3 linked regions of the Cricetulus griseus genome follow. Each later gene encodes a partner of the first gene's protein in a complex. Links are inferred from orthologs where the notes say so. Each region holds a gene or a part of one and is shown in the gene's direction. Other genes may lie near its edges. The genes, in order: Itga2b, Itgb3 and Flna.

What was found.
Region 2: the proteins of Itga2b (region 1) and Itgb3 are in contact, whole or in part, in a cryo-EM structure (PDB 8GCE), measured with the Homo sapiens proteins. The link is inferred for Cricetulus griseus from reciprocal best matches to the Homo sapiens genes ITGA2B and ITGB3. Residues at the interface, in NP_000410.2 of Homo sapiens: Gln49, Phe52, Arg72, Trp141, His143, Asn145, Glu152, Ala153, Glu154, Lys155, Pro157, Arg184, Phe191, Tyr197, Glu199, Phe202, Pro217, Tyr221, Phe222, Phe262, Asp263, Tyr265, Tyr268, Thr290, Trp293, Thr294, Gln315, Met316, Ala317, Tyr319; in NP_000203.2 of Homo sapiens: Ser188, Pro189, Tyr190, Tyr192, Ile193, Ser194, Pro195, Pro196, Tyr204, Asp205, Met206, Arg242, Asp243, Pro245, Lys279, His281, Ile282, Ala283, Leu284, Asp285, Arg287, Leu288, Ala289, Gly290, Val292, Gln293, Pro294, Asn295, Asp314, Tyr315.
Region 3: the proteins of Itga2b (region 1) and Flna are in contact, whole or in part, in an NMR structure (PDB 7SFT), measured with the Homo sapiens proteins. The link is inferred for Cricetulus griseus from reciprocal best matches to the Homo sapiens genes ITGA2B and FLNA. Residues at the interface, in NP_000410.2 of Homo sapiens: Trp1019, Lys1020, Val1021, Gly1022, Phe1023, Phe1024, Lys1025, Arg1026, Asn1027, Arg1028, Pro1029, Pro1030; in NP_001104026.1 of Homo sapiens: Thr2263, Gly2267, Ala2268, Gly2269, Gly2270, Leu2271, Ile2273, Ala2274, Val2275, Glu2276, Gly2277, Ser2279, Ile2283, Phe2285, Asp2287, Arg2288, Lys2289, Gly2291, Cys2293, Val2295.

The regions. Positions count from the first base shown.
Region 1 is NC_048600.1:115,637,649-115,645,405, forward strand, and holds part of Itga2b (integrin alpha-IIb), read left to right. Parts: intron 1-1,202; coding exon 1,203-1,509; intron 1,510-1,628; coding exon 1,629-1,788; intron 1,789-2,016; coding exon 2,017-2,066; intron 2,067-2,713; coding exon 2,714-2,759; intron 2,760-2,857; coding exon 2,858-2,986; intron 2,987-3,292; coding exon 3,293-3,340; intron 3,341-3,496; coding exon 3,497-3,540; intron 3,541-3,686; coding exon 3,687-3,740; intron 3,741-3,873; coding exon 3,874-3,926; intron 3,927-4,086; coding exon 4,087-4,298; intron 4,299-7,537; coding exon 7,538-7,720; intron 7,721-7,757. UniProt on the Homo sapiens protein: Integrin alpha-IIb/beta-3 is a receptor for fibronectin, fibrinogen, plasminogen, prothrombin, thrombospondin and vitronectin. It recognizes the sequence R-G-D in a wide array of ligands.
Region 2 is NC_048600.1:117,667,271-117,675,027, forward strand, and holds part of Itgb3 (integrin beta-3), read left to right. Parts: intron 1-40; coding exon 41-202; intron 203-2,414; coding exon 2,415-2,510; intron 2,511-3,063; coding exon 3,064-3,153; intron 3,154-4,398; coding exon 4,399-4,533; intron 4,534-5,760; coding exon 5,761-6,190; intron 6,191-7,757. UniProt on the Homo sapiens protein: Integrin alpha-V/beta-3 (ITGAV:ITGB3) is a receptor for cytotactin, fibronectin, laminin, matrix metalloproteinase-2, osteopontin, osteomodulin, prothrombin, thrombospondin, vitronectin and von Willebrand factor.
Region 3 is NC_048604.1:1,486,178-1,492,985, forward strand, and holds the end of Flna (filamin-A), read left to right. Parts: intron 1-128; coding exon 129-244; intron 245-772; coding exon 773-905; intron 906-1,546; coding exon 1,547-1,723; intron 1,724-1,883; coding exon 1,884-2,102; intron 2,103-2,188; coding exon 2,189-2,392; intron 2,393-3,398; coding exon 3,399-3,586; 3' UTR 3,587-3,901; downstream 3,902-6,808. UniProt on the Homo sapiens protein: Promotes orthogonal branching of actin filaments and links actin filaments to membrane glycoproteins. Anchors various transmembrane proteins to the actin cytoskeleton and serves as a scaffold for a wide range of cytoplasmic signaling proteins.

The DNA.
Region 1 (7,757 bases):
AAAAAAACAAAACCAGAGTCCAGTTGAAGAGAAGGAAGAGTGACAATATGAGCAAAGGGGTCAAGATCATAAAGGGGAAACCCACAGAAACAACTGACCAGAGTTAGTGGGAGCTCACTGACTCCAGACTTAACAGCTGCCGGGCCTGCATAGAACTGAACTAGACCCCCTGAATGCAGGTGACAGTGGGTGGATTGGGCAGTTTGTGAGACCACCGGCAGTAAGTAGGTCCAGGATCTATCCCTGGTACATGAGCTGGCTTTTTGGAGCCCATTTCCTACGGAGAGATACCTCGCTACCTTGCTCAACACGGGGGTGGGGGGTGGGGGAGCAGTTGGTCAGGCTTCATCATGATGGGACAGACTTCGTTGACTCCCCCTGAAGTCTATACCCTCTCTGAGGAGCAGGTCCGTGCTAGAGGGTAAGGTGGGGGAAGCAAGATGAGGGGAGGGAGTACTGGGATTGATATGTAAAATGGAAAAAATAAAATAATTAAACAAACGACAAACAAAAATCTCCTGTCCTCAGAGCTCTCGAGTGTTAACACACAGGGCCTGAAGCTCAGTTCAACTCCTTCCCCCCCTTCCTCGGTCTGCTGCTCTTTCCCCAAGCTCTGGTCCCATGGGTACAATTTAATAAGCATGCTGTGTTTATTAACAAATACACTTTTACAAAAGCATGTGGCTGAGGGCGTACTGAATACCTTCTCATACATTTATTGCATTTACTCTTCCAGCAGCGCAGTTGCTTGATATCACCCCTGCTTTACATAAGGCAGAACTGATTTAAACTTCGGTCTGCTAGGATCCTCAACTCTGTCTGTCAGCATCACACATCCCACATCCCCACTTCAGCCCGCCGCACCCTTCACCATTCAGAACAGCTCTCCCTAAGCCATCTATTAAGCTTGACAAGGCAGAAGATTTGTCTGGTTCTTATTGGAAGCATAGCAGGCGTTTTCAGCAAGGACTATGAAACCCTTCCCGTCCAAACCAAACCAACTGGTTTAGTCTCAGGTGACTTTCCTAAGAGTCCAGTTTCAGCTGCCCCTAAAATGAAGAGGTTGGCCTTCATGGGGTATTTGTGAGGAAAGATGCCCCAGTGTCTCCTGTGCCACACCTCCTTCCAGGTTCTGCTGGGGTGGCAGGCACAGGGCAGGATGGAAGGACCCCGAGCTGTGCTCACTCGGCCTTCCTACGCAGTGTGTCCATCGTGGTGGGCGCCCCCAGGGCCCTAAGCCCAAGTCAGGAGGAGACCGGCGGCGTGTTCCTGTGCCCCTGGAAGGCCACTGGCGGCAATTGCACCCCGTTGACCTTCGACCTAAGTGAGTCTCCGGCACGGAGGGGGCGGCGGAGCCAGGTGGAAGTGCTGGGCGGGGCTCCGGAGCTCCTCCCTTTCTTGTGCCCTCCAGGGGACGAGACCCGTCAGGCAGGCTTCCAGACTTTCCAGACCTTCAAGACCGGGCAAGGACTTGGGGCGTCGGTGGTCACCTGGAATGACGTCATTGTGGTGGGCACTGCGGACAGGTCACAGGGAGCGAGTCCAGAGAAATGACACGGGGGCGGGGGCGGGGGCGGGGGGAGCCAGAATATCGCGCCCTTCCCCAATCCCCTGCGACTCTGCTCCAGGCCTGCGCCCCCTGGCAGCACTGGAATGTCCTGGAAAAGAACCGCGAGGCAGAGAAGACCCCAGTAGGCGGCTGCTTCGTGGCTCAGCTCCAAAGCGGCGGTCGCGCCGAGTTCTCGCCTTGCCGCGCCAACAGCACGAGCTCGGCTTACTCAAGCTTAAGTGGGCGCCCTTCCGCCTTAGGCTCCGCCCTCTGCTAGCTGCAAACCCCACCCCGCCACCGACCTCGCGCGCCGGGAGCCCGGCCCCTCCGCTAGGCCACGCCCCCGGGGCGCCCCGCCTCCGCGCCCTCCCCGCCCCGCATCGTTTTGCTTGCCCACGCGGGACTCCTGGCTAAAGCGGGAGCACGCGGAGCCGCCCCTTGGGCTGACCCCCATTTGCCTCTTGTAGACAAAGACATGCGACACTGTGAGGCCGGCTTCAGCTCTGTGGTGACTCAGGCAAGTCGCAGGCAAGAGTAGCTCTCCCTGGAGCTTGAGCCTAGAGGTTCGCGAGTTTGAGGTCAGCCTGGTCTGCATAGCAAGTCTGAGGCCAGCCCCGGGTACATAGCAAGTTTGAGATCAGCCTGAGCTACAAAGTAAAACTCGTCTCAAAATGAGATGGGGTGGTGGGGAGAATGAGAATGGTGCGATGTTGGCGCATGCCTTCAGTCCCAGCACTCGGGAGGCAGAAGCAGGTGGATCTCTTGAGTTTGACGCCAGCCTGGTCTCCAGAGCGAGTGCCAGGTCAGCCAGGACTACACAGAGAAACCCTGTCTCTAAAAACAAACAAAAGAATATGCAGGCAGGGCTGGAGAGATGGCTCTTCAGCCCTGGCTGCTCTTCCATGGGTCCTGAGTTCAATTCCCAGCACCCACACGGTGGCTCACAACCATCTATAACGATATCTGGTGCCCTATGCTGCATGCAGGCAGATATATATATAATATATATATTATATATATATATATATATATATATATATGCAGGCAGAACACTGTATACATAATAAATGAATCTTAAAAAAAAAAAAAAGAATGTGCAGGCAAAGTGGTTTAGGGTTGTTCCCAGGATAGAGGACCCTCTCATGACCAGGACTTCCCTTTCAGGATGGGGAGCTAGTACTTGGGGCCCCCGGCGGCTACTTTTATTTAGGTAGGTGTGCCCAGTATTCCAACTCTCTCCCATCTCCGTGGTTTGGGGAGACCCAGGCGTTTGGTGCCCCACACCTCCTGTCCCTGTGCCCTTCCTAGGTCTCCTGGCTCGGGTTCCAATTTCGAGTATCATCTCTAGTTACCGCCCGGGTACCCTTTTGTGGCCTTTACCCAGTCAGCACTACACCTTCGACTCCGGCAACCCAGCGTACTTCTACAGCTACCAGGGTAACCTTGGCATCTCCTTTCCAGGCTTCCCAGGCCCCTGTTCGTGCCTTTATGCCAATCTTAGCTAGTCAACCCCAGCACAAAGGCACCCCGCCCCCTGTTCCTGCCTCTTCCACCACGCTTGTTCAACTCCCATCCAAACTGGCTCACCCTTCTCTCCTTGGACTCAAGTGAGATCTTGGGCACGCCTCCGTTTTCCCACCTGCACAATGCAGTTTGTGCTGATAACCTCGCTTCTCATGACCCTCCTTTCCTGACCGAGGTCTTCCTCGTTGCCTTAAACACTAAGCTGTGCTGTGCTTTCAGGGTACTCGGTGGCCGTGGGCGAGTTCGATGGGGATCCGAGCACTACAGGCAAGGAATGCAGTTAGGGGAGTCCTGGGGCAGGATCACCTCTACAAGAGGAGTCCTGGGGCAGGAGCACCTCTGCACAATTCCCCCGGGGTCCCTATGTGAGGATGGAATAAGTCGGGACTGAGGATCTGATTTGCTGAGCCTGGCTTTTCACAGAGTACATAATGGGTGCCCCCACTTGGAGCTCGACCTTGGGAGCGGTAAGTGCCCGCTCTCCCACCAAACCCTTGACCCTAGTCATCTTGTTTACTCCCCCACATTCGCCAGCACCCTACCCTTTCGCAATGAGAGTGGGAAGCCACTGAGGAAACGTGAATGACGCGCTTGGGTGTGTTCCTCCATACAGGTGGAAATTTTGGACTCCTACTACCAGCGGCTGTACCAGCTTCGTGGAGAGCAGGTGAGGGCGGTGGCAGTGACCAAAATCAGGGTATTAAAACACACACCCTCAAGACGGTTCTTGGGATATGCGGGTAATGTCTAGCAGGGTGCCGCGTGCAGAAACACAAACTGAAACGCTCTTCATCTTGTAGATGGCTTCGTATTTCGGGCACTCTGTGGCAGTCACTGATGTCAATGGGGATGGGTGAGAAGAGGGAATGAATGCCCTACCCTTACCCAGTTGGGTCCTCAATTGCCAGCAACAGGAGTTACCCTTCTCTTGTCCCAAGGGTGGCCCAGAACTGCCCTCATTCCTGGTATCTTCCTAGCTCAGCTGCACCTAACCTTGCCCATGTGGTCCACAGGAGGGATGACTTACTGGTGGGGGCTCCACTCTATATGGAGCACAGGGCAGACGGAAAGCTGGCCGAGGTGGGCCGTGTGTACTTGTTTATGCAACCTCAGGGCCCCCATATTCTGGACAAGCCCACTCACCTGCTGACCGGCACTCAGCTCTATGGGAGATTTGGATCTGCCATAGCACCCTTGGGTGACCTCAACCGAGATGGCTATAATGGTGAGTGGAAGAGCTGCTGTGTTTGACCTTAAGAGCACTAATAGCCCTAACAAAAGGATGGGTTTAGGGCAGATGGGTGGAGTACCCTGCAGTTCCAGTACGAGGGAGGCTGAGACCTTGGGCAGCAGGAGCCCAGGAAGGCTTGACTGCCGACTGGAAAATGGGTACCAGAGTTCAGGGAATCCTTTTAGGACGGTTTGTCTCAATCTCAGCATGATGGAGACTGGAGTTAGCGATTGGATGACTTTACAGATATTTGGGGTTGGGACTATTAAGGTGGATGGGAAATGGAATTTGGAGTCAAGAAGAGAAGGAGGTTGAGTGGGAGTGGGGAGCCAGGAGGTCTGGAGTTCAGATCTAGGTTAGATGGGTTTGAAGGGCTTGGGGGTGTTAGGTGAGAACTGAGAACTGTGGCTTTCCGCATTTCCGCCAGAGAGGCCTGAGGGTGAGAGAGAGAGAGAACTAGGAAGAGTGGATGGGATCCAGAGCCCGTGTGATAAGAAGAGGCCCAGAGTAGAACCCTGGGAAGTAAGAACATTTAGGGACCACCGAGAAGGTGACTGTGGGAAACAGAGTTTGAACAGCTGGGAGAGAAACCATGAGATTGGTGGCCCAAAACTCTAAGAGAGAGTACTTGGAGCAGGAGGAAGGAATGGGCCAAGTGGCCCCCTCATTCCTCTTTCAGTCCATTTAGGTGGGACTGGGAAAACATCATGGCCTTTAGCAAGAATGAGCTCATTGGTGGCAGTGACAAGAACCAACACAGGCCAGTGTGGCAGTGCATACCAGTAATCCTGGCACCTAGGAAGCAGAGGCAGGAGGGATAGAAGCCCAAGGTCACCCTCTGCTACCTAAGAGGCTGGAGAGCAGCTTGGGATACATAACTCCCTCTTTCAAAAAACCTACCAACTAGCCGGGCAGTGGTGGCACATGCCTTTAATCCCAGCACTCGAGAGGCAGAGACAGGTGGATTTCTGTAAGTTTAAGGCCAGACTAGTCTAAAGAATGAGTTCCAGGACAGGCTCCAAAACTACAGAGAAACCCTGTCTCAAAAATGAAACAAACAGGTGTGCAGATATACGTGGAAGTACAATGTTGTATACATAATAAATAAATAAAATCTTTAAAAAAATGTTCAAAACCATGCCCATGAGACAGGGTGGTATATGTCACAAACTGGCCTCTACTTATTTATGTAACTGAGGCTGACTTTGAACTTCTAGTCCTCCTCCTGTCTCCATATCCCTTGTGCTAGAAGGACTGGTACTATGGGCACCACCACACTTGACTTATGCTGTGTGAGGCTTTGGGCATGTTAGGCCAGCTCTGTATTAGCTCAGCTACAACCCTTCCCTTAATTCCCATTTTCTAAGAAGATTAAATAACTGAGCCCAGCTTGGGGCAGCAAACTTCTTAGTATGTGTGAGGTCCTAGATTCAATTCCCAGTAATGGAAGAAAAAAAAGTAGGCCTGGTGTGCTGGTGCACACCTTTAATATCAACATTCATGAGGCAGAGGTTGGTAGATCTCTGTGAGTTCAAGGCCAGCTTGGTATACATATTGAGTTCCAGGCCAGTTAGGGCTACATAGTGAGACTCCATTTCAAAACACAAAACCAAACTGAAAAGCAAATAAAAACTAGCTGAAGCCTATTTCCCAGATGCTAACTCTGTTTCAGCTTCACCATGCCAACAAACTCACAGCCACATCATAGGTCTCTCAACCCAAGTGTCTTGAGAGTGTGTCTGTTAGCAGTCTCATTATTTTCTGAGTCCTTTTCATATATGACCAGTTTAGGATCACGTGTGTCTGTGTGTTTTAACCATCTTCCCTTTATCTTCTGATTTTGTTTACAGTATGTCTTTGCAATTTTCTTGATCACCATAATCATAATTCAAACAAAAGTCTTTAATCCTAGCCTTCAGGACTCAGGGGCAGGTGGATCTCTGTGAGTTCCAGGCCAGCCAGGGCTACACAAGGAGACCCTGTCTCAAAAAACAAAAACAAAACAGAGGCCTCTGACCACAATGGTGTCCTCGAGTCCCTGGCCTCGTATCTGTCCTGGTTTTGGTCTTCATGGATTTACTGACCATTTGATTCTTGCCCCATGGCCAGTTTCGGATCAGCCTGGTCAGACTCTATCTGGAGTTAATTCAGCTCAGGGTGGCAGGAGATGCAGAGCAGATGGGCACTGTGGCCTCCTAATTGCCAGCCTTCCTTGGGACCCTGGGGGTCTCCCAACCATCTTGTGGATTTCCTCACAGCACTTGTTTCTAACTTTCTCCAGTCTTCCAAGCTGTCAATTCGGTTTCCTTCCTTAAGGGGCCCTATTGCTCACTCTCTTCCTGCTTTCTCTATGTGACCTTTGAATCGGTATCTCCTGCCTCTGGATGGAGTGTCTGCATTCCCAGGCGTCACAGGGACCCTCATCTAGCTGTCCCATCCTCATTCCACGATGGCTCCCCTTTTCCTTTCACAGTCACACTGGTGAGAGAGCTGTCTGTCTTGCCTGCTGAGGTTTTCACCTCGCTTCATACCCTGCCCCTCACCAGTGATCTTCTGGTCCCTACGGTGCCCTCCATAAGTTGTTTTTGTTTGTTTGTTTCGTTTTTTTTAAGATTGTATTTATTATGTATACAATGTTCTGCCTGCATGTATGCCTGCAGGCCTGAAGAGGTCACCAGATCTCATTACAGATGGTTGTGAGCCCCCATGTGGTTGCTGGGAATTGAACTCAGGACCTCTGGAAGAGCAGTCAGTGCTCTTAACCTCTGAGCCATCTCTCCAGCCCCCAGGTTTCGAACATCTTTAATCCCAACACAGGGAGGCAGAGGCAGGCCGATCTCTGTGAGTTTGAGGCCAGCATGGTCTTCATAGCAAGTTCCAGAACAGCCAGGGTTACAAAGAGAAACCCTATCTCAGTCAAACCAAACCAAACCAAAAAACAAACAAACAAAAACCCCTGTCTCAAACTAACAATAATAGTGAACAGGATAACAACACCCAGTTGTTGGGAGTAAATGGAATCTTGTTGGTACATTTCCCTCGATGGACAGTGAGGACTGCTGGAGCTTTTATAGCAATTGTTAATACTTGACTGATTTCTCTCCTGTCTCTTCAATATAGACTTTGTACTCTTCTCCTGTTGTCCCAGGGCCTCCCTAGAGAAGACTCAGGGGCAATTGGCAGCATCCCCTGGGGCAGACTCAATCACAAATAGCCACACTCTTTCTTTCCAGATGTTGCTGTGGCTGCCCCCTATGGGGGACCCAGTGGTCAGGGCCAAGTGCTGGTGTTCCTGGGTCAGAGTGAGGGGCTGACTCCACGCCCCTCCCAGGTCCTGGACAGCCCCTTCCCCAGAGGCTCTGCCTTTGGCTTCTCCCTTCGTGGTGCTGTAGACATCGATGACAATGGATACCCAGGTGCCTGTGGGTTGTATCCAGCCAGTCAAGACAGGCT
Region 2 (7,757 bases), about 2.0 Mb from region 1:
TGACATAGCTGAAGTCTCTGTGTCTTTTTTTTCAAAACAGGAAAAAATTGGCTGGAGGAATGATGCATCCCATTTGCTGGTGTTTACCACTGATGCCAAGACCCACATTGCACTGGATGGAAGGCTGGCAGGCATTGTCCTGCCCAACGATGGACAGTGTCACATTGGCAGTGACAACCATTACTCTGCCTCTACTACCATGGTGAGATGCCTGGTCCCACTGTGGTCCTTGTTCACTCTGATAGGGCTGTTTTATTCCAGGCAAGGCTTTTGTGTGAATTTGAAAACAGACTTACTTCTGGGCATTATATGGGGCTCAGTTAGTGCCTGTTTCTGCCACATCCCAATAGGGCACCCTCACCCAGGGCGTCACACTGACTCCGCAGTCGTCAGCACCAGCAACAGCATCTTGCCATCCAAAATGTGGGAAGGCACAGCTAGAAAACTCTCTTCCCTCCTTCCTCTGTGGATGGGTCCCTTCTTGGAATCAAGCTCATTTGTGGTTACTGGGGAAAGACAAGGGGGAGAAAAGGACAAAGGTAAAACCCAGAGAGCAGAGCCTCTTGAGGAAAGGTTAAAGGGCACAGAGTCATTCGGTTTGAAAGAAAGATGTTTGTGGATAATTTAGGATGATAGGTAAGAAAACTTATGAAAAGTTATTTCATGTGTTTTATTTAACCATAGACAGTTAACTAAATAAGAAGAAAGGAGCTTAAATTGAAATAGGAATTACTGTCAACCATGAGGCAAATGTAGCTAAGTTTAAAATAATAACACTTAGGGTATTTGGAGAAAGTCTTGACTTTTTTTTTTTACCTGTCTTGTCCCCCTACCCCCCTTCATTTTCTTGAGTCAGGGCTTTGCCATGCAGTCCAGGTTAACTTGTAATTCTTAGTCCTCTGCCATCACCTTCACATCAGTGGGGTTACAGTAATTTGACAATATACCTGATTTTAATTAATTGATTAAATGATAAAGGGCCTTGTTCTATATATAGCCCAGGCTGGTTTTCTCCTTGCAGTCCTCTGCCTCAACCTTCTGAGTATTGGGATTAGAAGCTTATACCACCATGCCTGTTTTTTTTTTTTTTTCCCTTAGTCTGGAAATTGAATTCAACGTCTCATAGTATATTAGATAATTGCTCATCCACCAGGCCATCCCCAGCCTACTGTTTATTTTTAAATAAGAAACAAAACCTTATTTATTATTAAAACATACTCCTTATTTTCTCTAGTCAATAGAGGAACCATTTTGTGGCTTAAAAGTGATTCAAGGGAGGAGACTGAGCTAGAGAACTCATGAGCTCCCTTGCAAGGTCTATGAGCCCATGGACATATTGGTTCATACTGTTTCCTGGTCTCTTCAAGTCCTTGGTATTAGCCATATACAAGCTGAGCACTATCGGACTCTGATACTAGTCTATACAAGGCACTGATCAGGAGCTGCGAGAGATGAAAAAGCTATAAGGACCTACTCCTACAAGTTTTTTTGTTTAGATGAAGAGAGAGGATATATTCCAGCACATTTATCAATAGCAGCGAATGCATGCTGAATGCTAAGTGTGTTATACAGTCAAGGGCTATTGGCAGCCGGAAGAGGAAAGCTCCTTAGGAGCTGGGGTGGTCAAGGAAGGCCTCTTGGAGGAGGTGAGCTTTGGCTAAGGAAGGAGGAGGATTGCCAAGATGAAGGTCACTCGCAGGAGGAGTGAGCTAGAGCAGTGCCTGGTAGAAGAGGAGTAGGGGTGAGTGATGGTTGTTGGTCACGTGTTGGTTGATCAGTAGAGCGAGGCTAGGACATTTGCCCACAGCTCTGCAACGGTGGGCCTTAACTCATGGAGCTGGTTTGAATCTGAGTGGGAAGGAAGGTGCTTGGCTTTGGAACACCACCAGCTTAGGGTTCTTTGCTAAGCTTGCACTGCATTGCCCTTCTCACTCATATAGCAACTTTCATTTCATATCCACTTTCTGTTGCTAACAGTAAGCCAGAAAAGAACTTCAGTTTTGTTCTTAGAACTTGCGAGTTTGAGAGACCACATCTGGTGGTCATCTTGCTGGCTGAGTCCCAAGACTCAGGCCGGCATGAAGCAGAGGTCAGGGAGTGTGTGTATGGGTTTCTGTTTTCATTGTTCTCCTCTCATGACACTAGTGGGATTCAACTCTGGGGGCTTTGCTGTAATGACCTCTAACCATACTTCCCGAATACTCTACTCCCCAGTACTGTTGGGGGGCGGGGCTTGTCTTCATCCCCCCCCCACCCAAGCATCTCACAGTGTGAATTCAATTTCATCACATGAAACCCAAGGGACACACTGGAGCCATGTCCAAACCACAACACCTCACTTTGATTAGTGCATAAATGTTTTAAGTTTCACATTTCCTTGGCGATATCCCCATGAACCTTTCCCTCTTTTCCAGGATTACCCGTCTCTGGGGCTGATGACTGAGAAACTATCCCAGAATAACATTAACCTGATCTTCGCAGTCACTGCAGACGTGGCCAACCTCTACCAGGTAACTATGCCTCTGGGGCTTCCGTCCTGTTGCCACAGATGGACCTGTCCCAGGTGGCCATGGACCCAACCAGGAAAAAAATCCTTTTAAAACTCATTCTCTGGGTACTTAACATAACTCCCTATAGCCTTTTTCCTTCAGCCTCTAACCTGCTAGGAAGAGGGTGTAGATGTTTGAGATGATGGTGAGGAGATAAATCAGTTGGGGGAGGGGAGTAAAAAGGTTTCTTACTTTTCCCTCAGATATGAAAATCTGATAGATCTGTTCTGGTAGTGACAAGTGAGGCATCCCACAGTGTCCTCACAACTTCACTTTAAGACTGTCAGTCTGGCAGTGGTGGCACACGCCTTTAATTAAAGCACTTGAGAGGCAGAGGCAGGCAGATCTCTGAGTTTGAGGCCAGCCTGGCCTACAGAGTGAATTCCAGGACGGCCAGGGCTACACAGAGAAGCCCTGTCTTGATGCCCCCCACCCCCCAAAAGACTGACTAGGGGGACTTTGAGGAGACCACTTTCCTTGAGCAAGCTGTGGACATCTTTGTCTTCCTTTCTAGAATTATAGTGAGCTCATTCCGGGGACCACAGTGGGAATCCTGTCTGTTGACTCAAGCAATGTCCTCCAGCTCATTGTTGATGCTTATGGGGTAAGAATATTGGCCTGGGAGGGCTGGTCGAGTCTGCTGGATGTGGCTCATTGAGCAGAGGGTGTTAAAAAGAAGTAAAAGTGGGATGCAGTGGTCCCTCTACAATGGGAGCCTGACATGTAAATTCCCCCCAGGATTGAAATTTCTTAAAATGAATGGGCCTCAAGGCCATGCTTGGGCCTGGAGGTGGAAGGGAGGCATTAGATGGAAACAATATAATAGGGAGGTCTAAACATAATAGGGCCTTAAAGGGGACAAGAGGTGTCCCTTTAAAGCCTGAAGAGGAGCTTTATTAAGAGTGAGAGCGAAGCTGGGCAGTGGTGGAGCACTCCTTTAGTCCCAGCACTCGGGAGGCAGAGGCAGGGGGATCTCTGTGAGTTTGAGACCAGCCTGGTCTACAAGAGCTAGTTCCAGGACAGCCTCCAAAGCCACAGAAAAACCCTGTCTCGAAAAACCAAACAAACAAACAAACAAACAAACACAGAAGAGTGAGATCGAGAGAGGTCAGGAGGAGAGTGGGTAGGGGGAGCCAAAGAGAGACAATGTTCATGAGCGTGAAGGCAAAGAGACCCTCTTCAAAAGCAGCCTTTCTCTCTAGACCAATTCCTAGAACAAAGGAAAGGTCTGGCTTTTTATGTTTTTAGGAGTGGCAGGAAGTTTCATATCATGTGATTTAGTTGAACACAGCACATAGAGAAGCCAAGTATTCTACAATGACAACTGTCAAGTCACGGTACAAACTGCTTTGGAACTCTGTCCCAAAGCGAGCTGGAGTGCGTGGCCTGGTTTGCCTGTGGGATCATGCCTAAAGATGCAGGCCCATGTTATGACAGAGCTCAGCATTGGGAGCCCTAGGCTGCCATTCTCCCATGTGGCCTTCCTGCTTTCCTCTTGTGCTCCTAGAGGATGGCCAGCCCTGGGAGAGATGACATCTTCTGGAAAGGAGGTGGGAGAGAAAGGAAGGCTAGGGCAGAACGGACGGTGAGTGGGGCGCTTAGAGGTGGAGGGGACTGTAGATGCGGGCCAGATTGACAAGGAGCATCTGTAGGGCAGAATGAGGGAGAGCCAGGTCCTAGCCACACACAAAAGAGGCAACTGAGTACAGAGACATTCTGGCAGCAACGGGCAGATAACCCTCAGCATCCGGCACTACCAAAGCACGTCCCAGGCCTCTGGGTTGGCTTTGCGTGGGATGCTTTTGGCCTTTGTCTGTGTCTTTACTTTCTTTTGTCCCTTTCTGCTCAGAAAATCCGCTCCAAAGTGGAGCTGGAAGTGCGTGACCTCCCTGAAGAGCTGTCACTATCCTTCAATGCCACTTGCCTCAACAATGAGGTCATCCCAGGCCTCAAGTCTTGTGTGGGACTCAAGATTGGAGACACGGTAAGGTGGGCAGTGGGCGAGGCAGGGACTGATACTGAAGCTGTGACGTGGACCCCAGAGTCTGTGTGTACTCCAACCCTTTTCAGATTAGAAGTTCAAGAGCTCTTAACCTTTCCTCTTGAAGCTTCTGCTGCCTAAAGTTTCTGTATCCACTGAGTTAACATCTCCATCAGTTTTTGAGATATTCACACCTGTATATCTGATTGCAAATGAAATGATCTCTTATCTACTCACCCAGAGTAGTGCCTTTCTTTTCTCTGTGACATAAAATGGCAGTATATCATCTGTAGACTTTAGCTGAGCACTGACTGTGCGCCAGGCTTTATTCTGGGTGATGAAAATCCAGCAGCAAGTGGACAGGAAAAAATACCTGGACCCCTTGAGACTCACTTAAGAGTGCAGATGCTCATATTGCCCCTGCATTCCCTCCATGGTTTTCTTGATGGCTATTGTTTTGCATTTTATGCATATGGTTATTTTGCCTATGTGCATATTTATGTATCATGTGGGTGCCTGGTACCTGTGAAGGCCAGAAGATGGTATCTGATTCCTTGGAACTAGAGTTACAGAGGGTTGTGATCTGCCATGTGGATTTGAACCCAGGTCCTCTGGAAGAGCAGCCAGCATTCTTCACTGCTGAGTTATCTCTCTAGCTGCCCGGGTTTTCTTTGTGTGCTGGTCCTCCTCTGCTCTACCTAAGAGACTGGTGGATGGCAGGGAGGAATGACAAGAAGTCAATCTTTTGGTCCATTGCCCTGTAAGCTTATTTTCCAAGCATGTATGTCCACAGCCCCACACTTCACACGCTGCAATGATGCCTTATACAGTATCCTTCAGTTTGGGACTGATTAACCACTCTTTGGCATGGTGTGGCACAAAGCAGAATCTTGTTGTCTTGCTGTTAATATGCAACATTGATCCTCCAGCTGGCTTAGTTGGCTAGTGTAGTGCTCACAAAAATCACTGATTCTGTCCTGCTTCAGCTGGTTTCTCTCTCGGGAATAGAACAGCCTTCTATTGCTTGTCTGTAACCATCTGTCCAGTCAGATGTGTCACAGTGGTAACTTCTATGCCACTGTCGTTGTTACTCTGTAGACTTTGATAGTATTAAGGTCACGGAACCCCCTGGGATGGTTGAATTCAGACACCTAGTTTTGTTTTCCTTGGTAGGGTGCATCGTAGCATTTCTCAGATCCACTTAGGTCTGAATGTCATCTTTCCATCCAGGTGAGCTTTAGCATCGAGGCCAAGGTACGCGGCTGCCCCAAGGAGAAAGAGCAGTCTTTCACTATCAAGCCTGTGGGCTTTAAGGATAGCCTTACTGTCCAGGTCTCCTTTGACTGTGACTGTGCCTGCCAGGCCTCTGCCCAGCCTCTCAGCCCACGCTGCAACAACGGCAATGGGACCTTTGAGTGTGGAGTGTGCCGCTGTGACCAGGGCTGGCTGGGAGCCATGTGTGAGTGCTCTGAGGAGGACTACCGACCCTCCCAGCAGGAAGAGTGCGTCTCCAAGGAGGGCCAACCCATTTGCAGCCAGAGAGGCGAGTGCCTCTGCGGCCAGTGTGTCTGTCACAGTAGTGACTTTGGCAAGATCACTGGCAAGTTCTGTGAGTGCGATGACTTCTCCTGTGTCCGCTACAAAGGGGAGATGTGCTCTGGTGAGTAGAAGCCTGCACCCGCGTGCTCGGTAGCCATGCATGCATACACACCTCAGTAGAAGTGTACACCCGTGTGCTCGGTAGCCGTGCATGTATACACACCCCGGTGCCTTGGGAAACACTCGGAAGGCTTGAGGCTGGCAAGGTGGGCAGAACTGAGAATCCATTTCACTCAGAGTGGAAACCCAGACATAAGCAGAGGAGGGAGGGAACCGGATCTTTTAGCTTGTTCGTGGGGCATAGGAAGCTAAGCTGGAGGTAGGCAGGAGTGGAGAAACGTCAAGGAGAGGTAGCTTGTTTTGCTTTTTGTTCTTCTCACTCTGATATTTCAGGTTCCTAATCCTTTTGAATATAAGGACTGACTTAGTTTTCAACTAAAGAAACCAGTCTCTTGGTAATTAAACTGTTAGTGTTTACAGACAGAAAATATATGATATCGGAATATACTGTAAAGTTCATAATCATTTTACATGACTTTATCGTTCTATCACCAGTAGACAGTAGTGATATATATGCAGGACGTTGGGGGCACCAGAACAGTGTTTGGGAAGTGGTGTACCTGTGTTAAATGTTATCCTTGTTTTGGCATCTGTTTTTTACTGCGTGTATTCATGTGCTGTCCAGAATGGTATCCACTAGCCATGTGTAGCTATTAACTAAGTGAGATAGAAACAGAAATTCAGTTTTCAGTTGGTCAGTAGCCTCATGTGGCTAGTGGCTATCATATTGGACCATGCAGATATTGAACATGTTGACATTGCAGGAAGTTCCACTGGATAATGTTGCCATAGTGACTTCCTACCAGCAGATTAAAATTGTGTGTGTGTGTGTGTGTGTGTGTGTGTGTGTGTGTGTGCGTGCTCCCACACGAGGCATGCATGTGTGTATATAGGTATAGTGACCAGAGATAGACTTTTTTTTTTTTTTGATTTTTAGAGACAAGGTTTCTCTGTATTGTTTTGGAGGCTGTCCTGGAACTTGCTCTGTAGACCAGGCTGGTCTCGAACTCACAGAGATTGGCCTGCCTCTGCCTACCGAGTGCTGGGATTAAAGGTATGCGCCACCAACGCCCATCCCAGAGCTAGATTTATGTGTCTTTTTCAATCACTTTCCATGTTATGCTTTGAGATTAGATCTCTCATTGACCCTGGGGCTGACCAGTTGGCTAGGCTGGCTGTCTGAACTCCAGGGATCCAACTGTTTTTGTTTCCTAATTTTGGGATTACACACATGTGCCACTGAGTTTAGCTTTTTTTTTTTAAAGCATGGTGCTGGAGATCTGAACTCAGGTCCTCATGTTGGCAATGCAAGCTGTCTCTCCATCCTGGGAACTGTAATTTTGAGCCTGAAGGATCCGAGTTGTTCCTTATTGCAAATTCAGTGCACCCCCCCACCCCCAGGCCTATTGATAACTTCAAACTGGTCCCAAAGACCCATTTCTGGGTGTTTTCCTGACCAGGAGAAGCCAAATCACTATTAATGTGGTCTTTAGAACTCTCAGGGCAAATGGACAGGCCGAGCCTTTTTTCTTAGGCTCTGGAGGTAGGTTTATGTTGGACTGTAGTCA
Region 3 (6,808 bases), on another chromosome or scaffold:
GCTCTTATTCTTGATCTTGAGGTTCCAGGGACACCCAAGCTGGCTGTGGAAGGCAATAGGCCTTTCCTAGGCTAGCTCTTGGAGATATGTGACATCTCTAATACAGCCTATGTTTTCTTCCTGTCCAGGTGACTATGAGGTCTCAGTCAAGTTCAACGAGGAGCACATACCTGATAGCCCTTTCGTGGTGCCTGTGGCTTCTCCGTCTGGTGACGCCCGCCGCCTTACTGTTTCTAGTCTTCAGGTGAGGCACTGAGAGAAACTGCCCACCTGGGGCTCCTGGGCCCGGCCAGACCAGAGTCACCATGGCAAACAGGCCTCAGCTCTGAGCTGAGTGGCCCACCCAGAAACAACTCTGGGTGCTAGGTTTCTGCTCTGGCCGGGTACAGCCCACGCTTGGGGTTGGCAGGAGCTGCCCTGCCCACCGTGTGGCGTTTTTCTCGTGTCTCAGGTCTAAAGGCTTTGAACAGAAGCCTGTGCCCATTGAGCACCAGGGCTAAGGTTTAAAGAGGGACAGCCTGCTAGAGCTGAGTGCTACCTATAGGGTGGGGCCACCTTCCCTTTCTGCTGCCTGGGTGTGTAATTGTTGAGTACACATTTAGGGGATAGGAGGTTGGGGGTGTGTCTGTGGCTTGCTGCCCTCACAGATCAATGGCTCTCCCTCTTTAAACCATGTTGGATACCAGATGGGTAAGTTACCCTGTGGGTCTCCTACTCTTCCATTTTCCCTGGCTCTAGCCATCCTGTCTAACCACATCTGCTGTGCTTCTAGGAGTCAGGGTTAAAGGTCAACCAGCCAGCCTCTTTTGCAGTCAGTCTGAATGGAGCCAAGGGGGCAATTGATGCCAAGGTGCACAGCCCCTCAGGAGCTCTGGAGGAGTGCTATGTCACAGAGATTGACCAAGGTGAGGCTCTATCCCTGTCTAGCCATCCAGCCATCTGCCCTATTGGACTAAAACCAGGCTTGAGTGTACACATGGAAAATAATGATTCTGTAAGCAATCAAAATTGGGCTCCTCAGCTTTCCAGATTGATAAAACACCCATGAAGATAATGGCTTTCCAGCATGGCCACTAGGAAGAAAGCCTTAGAAGTGCCATACATGACACAGAGACAGAGACAGTCTATCCCTGTGGCTAGAGGAATAGCAGTTCTATTGAAGCATACTAGTTTTCCCCCTCCCCACAGGTCCATGACCTGAAGCAAATTCCTTGCTAAACCTGCTGCTAATCTGTTGCTAGCATGGTATTAACAGTACATGGTCTAAGGAGGCAACAATGTGGGCATTTTGCTTGTCAGTCCAAAGGACTCAACAGTAGACTTCTTAGGTATCTATAATCTTAGTCCTCAGGATGTATGTGTTGTTGGGGTGGGTACCCAGTACAGTTCTGGAAGCAGAGGGGTCTCCATGGAGCAGTTGAGTTCCTGCTGGTGGCAAGAAAAATGAAAGGGATGGTTAGTACTAAGGCTATTCCTTTTAGATACCATTTGCTTGTTAAATACTGAAAAGTACCCTAGGCCCATGACATGTCCTTCTGCATCTCAGATAAGTATGCTGTGCGTTTCATCCCACGAGAGAATGGCATCTACTTGATTGATGTTAAGTTCAATGGTACTCATATCCCTGGAAGTCCCTTCAAGATCCGAGTTGGGGAGCCTGGGCATGGAGGGGACCCAGGCTTGGTGTCCGCCTATGGAGCAGGCCTGGAAGGTGGTGTCACAGGTAGGTTCATGGGTATATTTCTGAGTGTGGATGCAGTTGTTAGGGCCCTGCATCCAAGCTCTTAGCAACAGGAAGCATGTGGAAGTATCAAGGCTGTGCTGGGTGGCTGAAGACAGGAGAGCCAGTGACATACACTCTGCCTGACCTTCCATGCTCCCAGGGAGCCCAGCTGAGTTTATCGTCAACACAAGCAATGCAGGAGCTGGTGCCCTTTCCGTTACCATTGATGGCCCCTCCAAGGTGAAGATGGATTGCCAGGAGTGCCCTGAGGGCTACCGTGTCACCTATACCCCTATGGCACCCGGAAGCTACCTCATCTCCATCAAGTATGGTGGGCCCTATCACATTGGGGGAAGCCCCTTCAAAGCCAAGGTCACAGGTGAGCCCCAGGCTAAGCTGTTGGTGCCCATTCAATGCCTTGATATTCTCTAGCTACTTCTCAGTTTCACCTATTCTGTCCTGCAGGTCCCCGTCTTGTTAGTAACCACAGTCTTCATGAGACAACATCTGTATTTGTGGACTCCCTGACAAAAGTTGCCACTGTTCCCCAGCTTGCAACCTCAGGCCCAAGTCCCACTGATGTCAGCAAGGTAGTAGCCAAAGGCCTGGGGCTGAGCAAGGCCTATGTAGGCCAGAAGAGCAGCTTCACAGTAGACTGCAGCAAAGCAGGTAAGTATCCCTGTTTCTAGCTCTGGAAGTACAAAGTCAGAAATCACAAGACAGTCAACATGTGGAAAGTACAGGAACTTAGGGGTATGATTGTTGCTTTGGGGGCTACTTTATATTTGGGCTTCCTGGAGAAGTAGCTTAGTGGTTAAGAGTACTGGTTGCTCTTCCAGAGGACCTGGGTTTTGTGGGTTTTTTTTTGTTATTTTGTTTTTTTTTTTGAGACAGGGTGGAGCCTATATGGCACTCACTCTGTAGACCAGGCTGGTCTCAAACTCAGAGATCCACCTGCCTCCTCTGCCTCCTGAGTGCTGGGACTAAAGGCATGTGCCACCACTGCCCAGTTTATATAATCAGTCTTTCTTTCTTTCTTTCTTTCTTTCTTTCTTTCTTTCTTTCTTTCCTTCCTTCCTTCCTTCCTTCCTTCCTTCCTTCCTTTCTTTCTTCCTTTCTTCCTTTCTTTTTTGAAGACTCAGGTTCAAGTCCAAGCACCCATCTATATGGCAGTTCACAACTATCTATAACTCCAGTTTCAGGGAATCCAACACCCTCACACAGACATACATGTAGGCAAAACACCAATGCATGTAAAATGCATTGCCAGTTGGTGGTGGCACACCCCTTTAATCCCAACACATGGGAGGCAGATCTCTGAGTTCAAGGCAAGCCTGGTCTACAGAGCTAGTTCCAAGACAGTCAAGGCACAGTGAAACCCTGTCTAAAAGACGTACGTGTGTGTGTGTGTGTGTGTGTGTGTGTGTGTGTGTGTGTGTGTGTGTGTGTCTGTCTGTCTGTCTGTCTGTCTGTCTGTCTGTGTCTGTGAAGAAAATGTCCTGGAAGACCTGGGATTTGTCTTCTGGTGGCCTAGGTGGGGTATGAGAAGCTTGTTGGGAAGGGGTATTGTTCTAAACAGGCAAGGAACAGGATGTAGAATAGGAAGAAGGGCTCAGAGCAATTACAGCTGAAGGAAGGGGTTAAGGCTAGTCACTGAGGCCTATTCCTACCTCAGGTAACAACATGCTGCTGGTGGGGGTGCATGGCCCAAGGACACCCTGTGAAGAGATCCTGGTGAAACACATGGGCAGCCGTCTCTACAGTGTCTCCTACCTGCTCAAGGACAAAGGGGAGTACACACTGGTGGTCAAGTGGGGTGATGAGCATATCCCAGGCAGCCCATACCGCATTATGGTGCCCTGAGCCTGACAACTATGCCAGCCAGAATCTCCCATAGCAAAGAGCAACCTCACACCTGTCCCACCCCCAAGAAGTCCATTTTCCTTTCCTGAGCCCTGGGCCCTCCCTTAGATCACTCTGGCCACTCTGTCACTGCAGTCTCCCCTGCCCTGCGCTGTGCTCACCTGCCTCTCTGGGCTTTCACTTGGGTAAAGGGAGCCATTTGGTGGCAGCGCCTGACTCCTTTGGTTCTGGGAGGGTGGGAGTTCTATGTACAACCACTTGCTAGTTCTCTTTCCCAGACAAGAGGAATAAAATTTTGCTTCCATTGTCCTGTGAGTGTCTGTATCTTTCATGGAAAGAGTGATGAAGTCCAAACTGGCAAGGGTACCAACAAGGCATAGGTATAGGCTGTGGGATCTCCAGGTAGCACAGTCTGTATTTGCTCTTTGTTTCACAGAGATGGGTATATGATGTACCTAGAATGGCATAGGATCAAGTAGGCAAAATGTGGGGCATTAAGATTAATTGCTAGCTAGTTGGTGATCGCTAGCAGTGATGATCAGGTAAACTGTCTTAGAAATAGCATCAAGGCCTAGCCGTCTCTTAGATACCATGAACATAATAATACCAGCTCTTAGTGTTTGGCTTTTGAGGTGGGTTTGAGGTGCTTTGGCTGTCCTGAACTCACTCTGGAAACCAGGCTGGCCTCCAACTCAGAGATCCATCTGCCTCTGCTTCTGCCTCCTGAGTGCTAGAATTAAAGGTGTGCCCTACCACTGCTTGGCTTATTTTGATATTTTGGAGACAGGGTCTCACTATGTAACCTTGGCTGGCTTGGAACTCATTATGTAGACTAGGCTGGTCTCAAACGCACAAAATAAGGCACCATTACAAAGATTCTCCCTCTTACAACAGAGTGTATATACTTCTTCATCAATGAAGGAGGGATACCCATTCCTACGGAAGGAAGCATAGTGCTCTGGTCCTAAGTATTCTTTTTTGGTTGGTTTTTGTTTTTTGTTTGAGACAGGGTTTCTCTGTGTAGCTTTGGAGCCTATCCTGGCACTTGCTCTGGAGACCAGGCTGGCCTCTAACTCACAGAGATCGGCCTGCCTCTGCCTCCTGAGTGCTGGGATTAAAGGCGTGCGCTACCAATGCCCAGCCATTCCTAAGTATTCTTGATGGTCCTCTCTTCTATCCTCAAATGCGACTTGTAATATAGAGCCTCCTTGCTACAAATGCAGTGGGGAAATCTCTTGGTCTCAGTAACCCCTTTCTGCATCCTTTGTATGAGGATGGTTCCCTGTGTCCCCTAGAGCTAAAATTAAACAACATTCTAGCTCCCAGTGAAACCTACAGATGGCTGGGATATCTCCTTGAAACGGACCTAGCCCTATGCAAGGCTCTCAAGCCCACTGTCATCACTTCACTCATCTGTAGTCAAGGGCCAAGAAGTCAGGTTATCTGGGACAAGACCTACACTGCAGGTTATATCCTCTTTCAGCTCCTAGCACTCAACTCATTGGCATGACCTCTGCTGGCAACCCATAAGGCAGGACTTCAGAGCACTTGGCCAAAAGCTAGTTATTCAATAAGAAACATACAGGGGATAAAGGACTAAACTGCTGAGCTAAGACAGTTCCATGACTCTGGAAGGTTCTGTACTCCACTTCTACACTAGAAGTAGGTAGAAACAGGTATATCTGGGATCCTCACTTTTGTGCATCTGAGGCTGCCCAGGCCCAGAAGACATTGCCCAAGAGACAGGCAGATACAACTAGATAAAGTCCTTCCCTTGGTCCATTGGTATTATTGTTGAAAAGCCAGGATAGAGAGTAGGGCCCAACACTCTGGGAACCTCAAGAAGCTGCCCACCTGGACAGGGGGTTTTCTTTTTCTTTTTGCCTTCGAGACAGGGTTTCCTGGAACTCGCTCTGTAGACCAGGCTGGTCATGAACTCACAGAGATCCATCTGCCTGCCTCTGCCTCCCAGCCACCTGGAGAGGGGGGAAAGTATCAAAGGCAAGTCCAAGAAGGTACAGCACTAACAGAGGGGCATATGACACCTGCAAAAGTATGCCTGCCATCCTTAATTGATCCTTTTAAAAAGAATTAACTATGGGCTGAAGAGATGGCTCAGAGGTTAAGAGCACTGGCTGCTCTTCCAGAGGTCCTGAGTTCAATTCCCAGCAACCACAAGATGGCTCACAACCATCCGGAATGAGATCTGGTGCCCTCTTCTGGCGTGCAGGCATATGTAGAGGCAGAATGTTGTATACATAATAAATAAAATCTTTTAAAAAAGAATTAACTATAATTGTCTGCCTGTATGTATGTCTCTGTACCACATCCGTTCCTGGTGCCTATAGAAGCCAGAAGAGGGCATTTGATTGCCTGGGTCTGGAGTTAGAGATGGTTGTGAGCCACCATAATATGGATGCTGAGAATTGATCAATTCGGGGTCTTGTGGAAGAGGAGCAAGTACTCTTAGCAGCTGAACCATCTCTCCAGTCCCATGCCTACCATTCTTGACAGACCCAGCCACACAGTCCCAGAGGCTACCAGGAAAAGGCAGGTGGCCACCTCAGCTGATTCTGCAAACAACAAGGCCACATGACCTAGAATCTGCCTAACCACAAGAGTCCATGCCTTGGCTCTGTTGGCCAACCGGTGCTGGAAGCCAAGAGATCAAGGTCGCATGGCCATATGTCTTCCACTGCCTGACTTCCCTCCCACCCAGTGAGACCAAGAAGGGGACCAGGAGATGATTGGCTCTAGCTGAAAGCAGGGCCCAGAGACTGCAAGTTCAGGTTGGACTAAGGGTAAGGTGAGTCACAGGGCAGGCCCAGCTGACCATTCCTCCTCCCTTAGCCAGACAGCCCAGACACTCTGCTCAAACCCCCACCCACCCCCATAAGGAAAGGGGGACAATGCCTTCATAGAGCTTCCCTCAGCCATGGGGGTCACAGCACTCATACCTCACTAGGAAATGGCCAGTAGTCCCTTGGGCTTCTAGAGGGCTGGCCCAGGCCAAGGGGGGCAGGGTGAGAATAGAGCAGAGGGAGCAAGCAGCAGGTGACCTTGGAAATAACCCACAGAGGCTGCAGACATCAGTGGAGGAGCAGATACCCATGCACATGCCAGGCAGCCAGGGCCTGAAAGAGAGGCAGGGAGACTCAGGTGGGTGTCAGGAGGGGATCAACCAGGTGAAGGCAGGCAGTGATATGACAAAGTGTGTGGGGA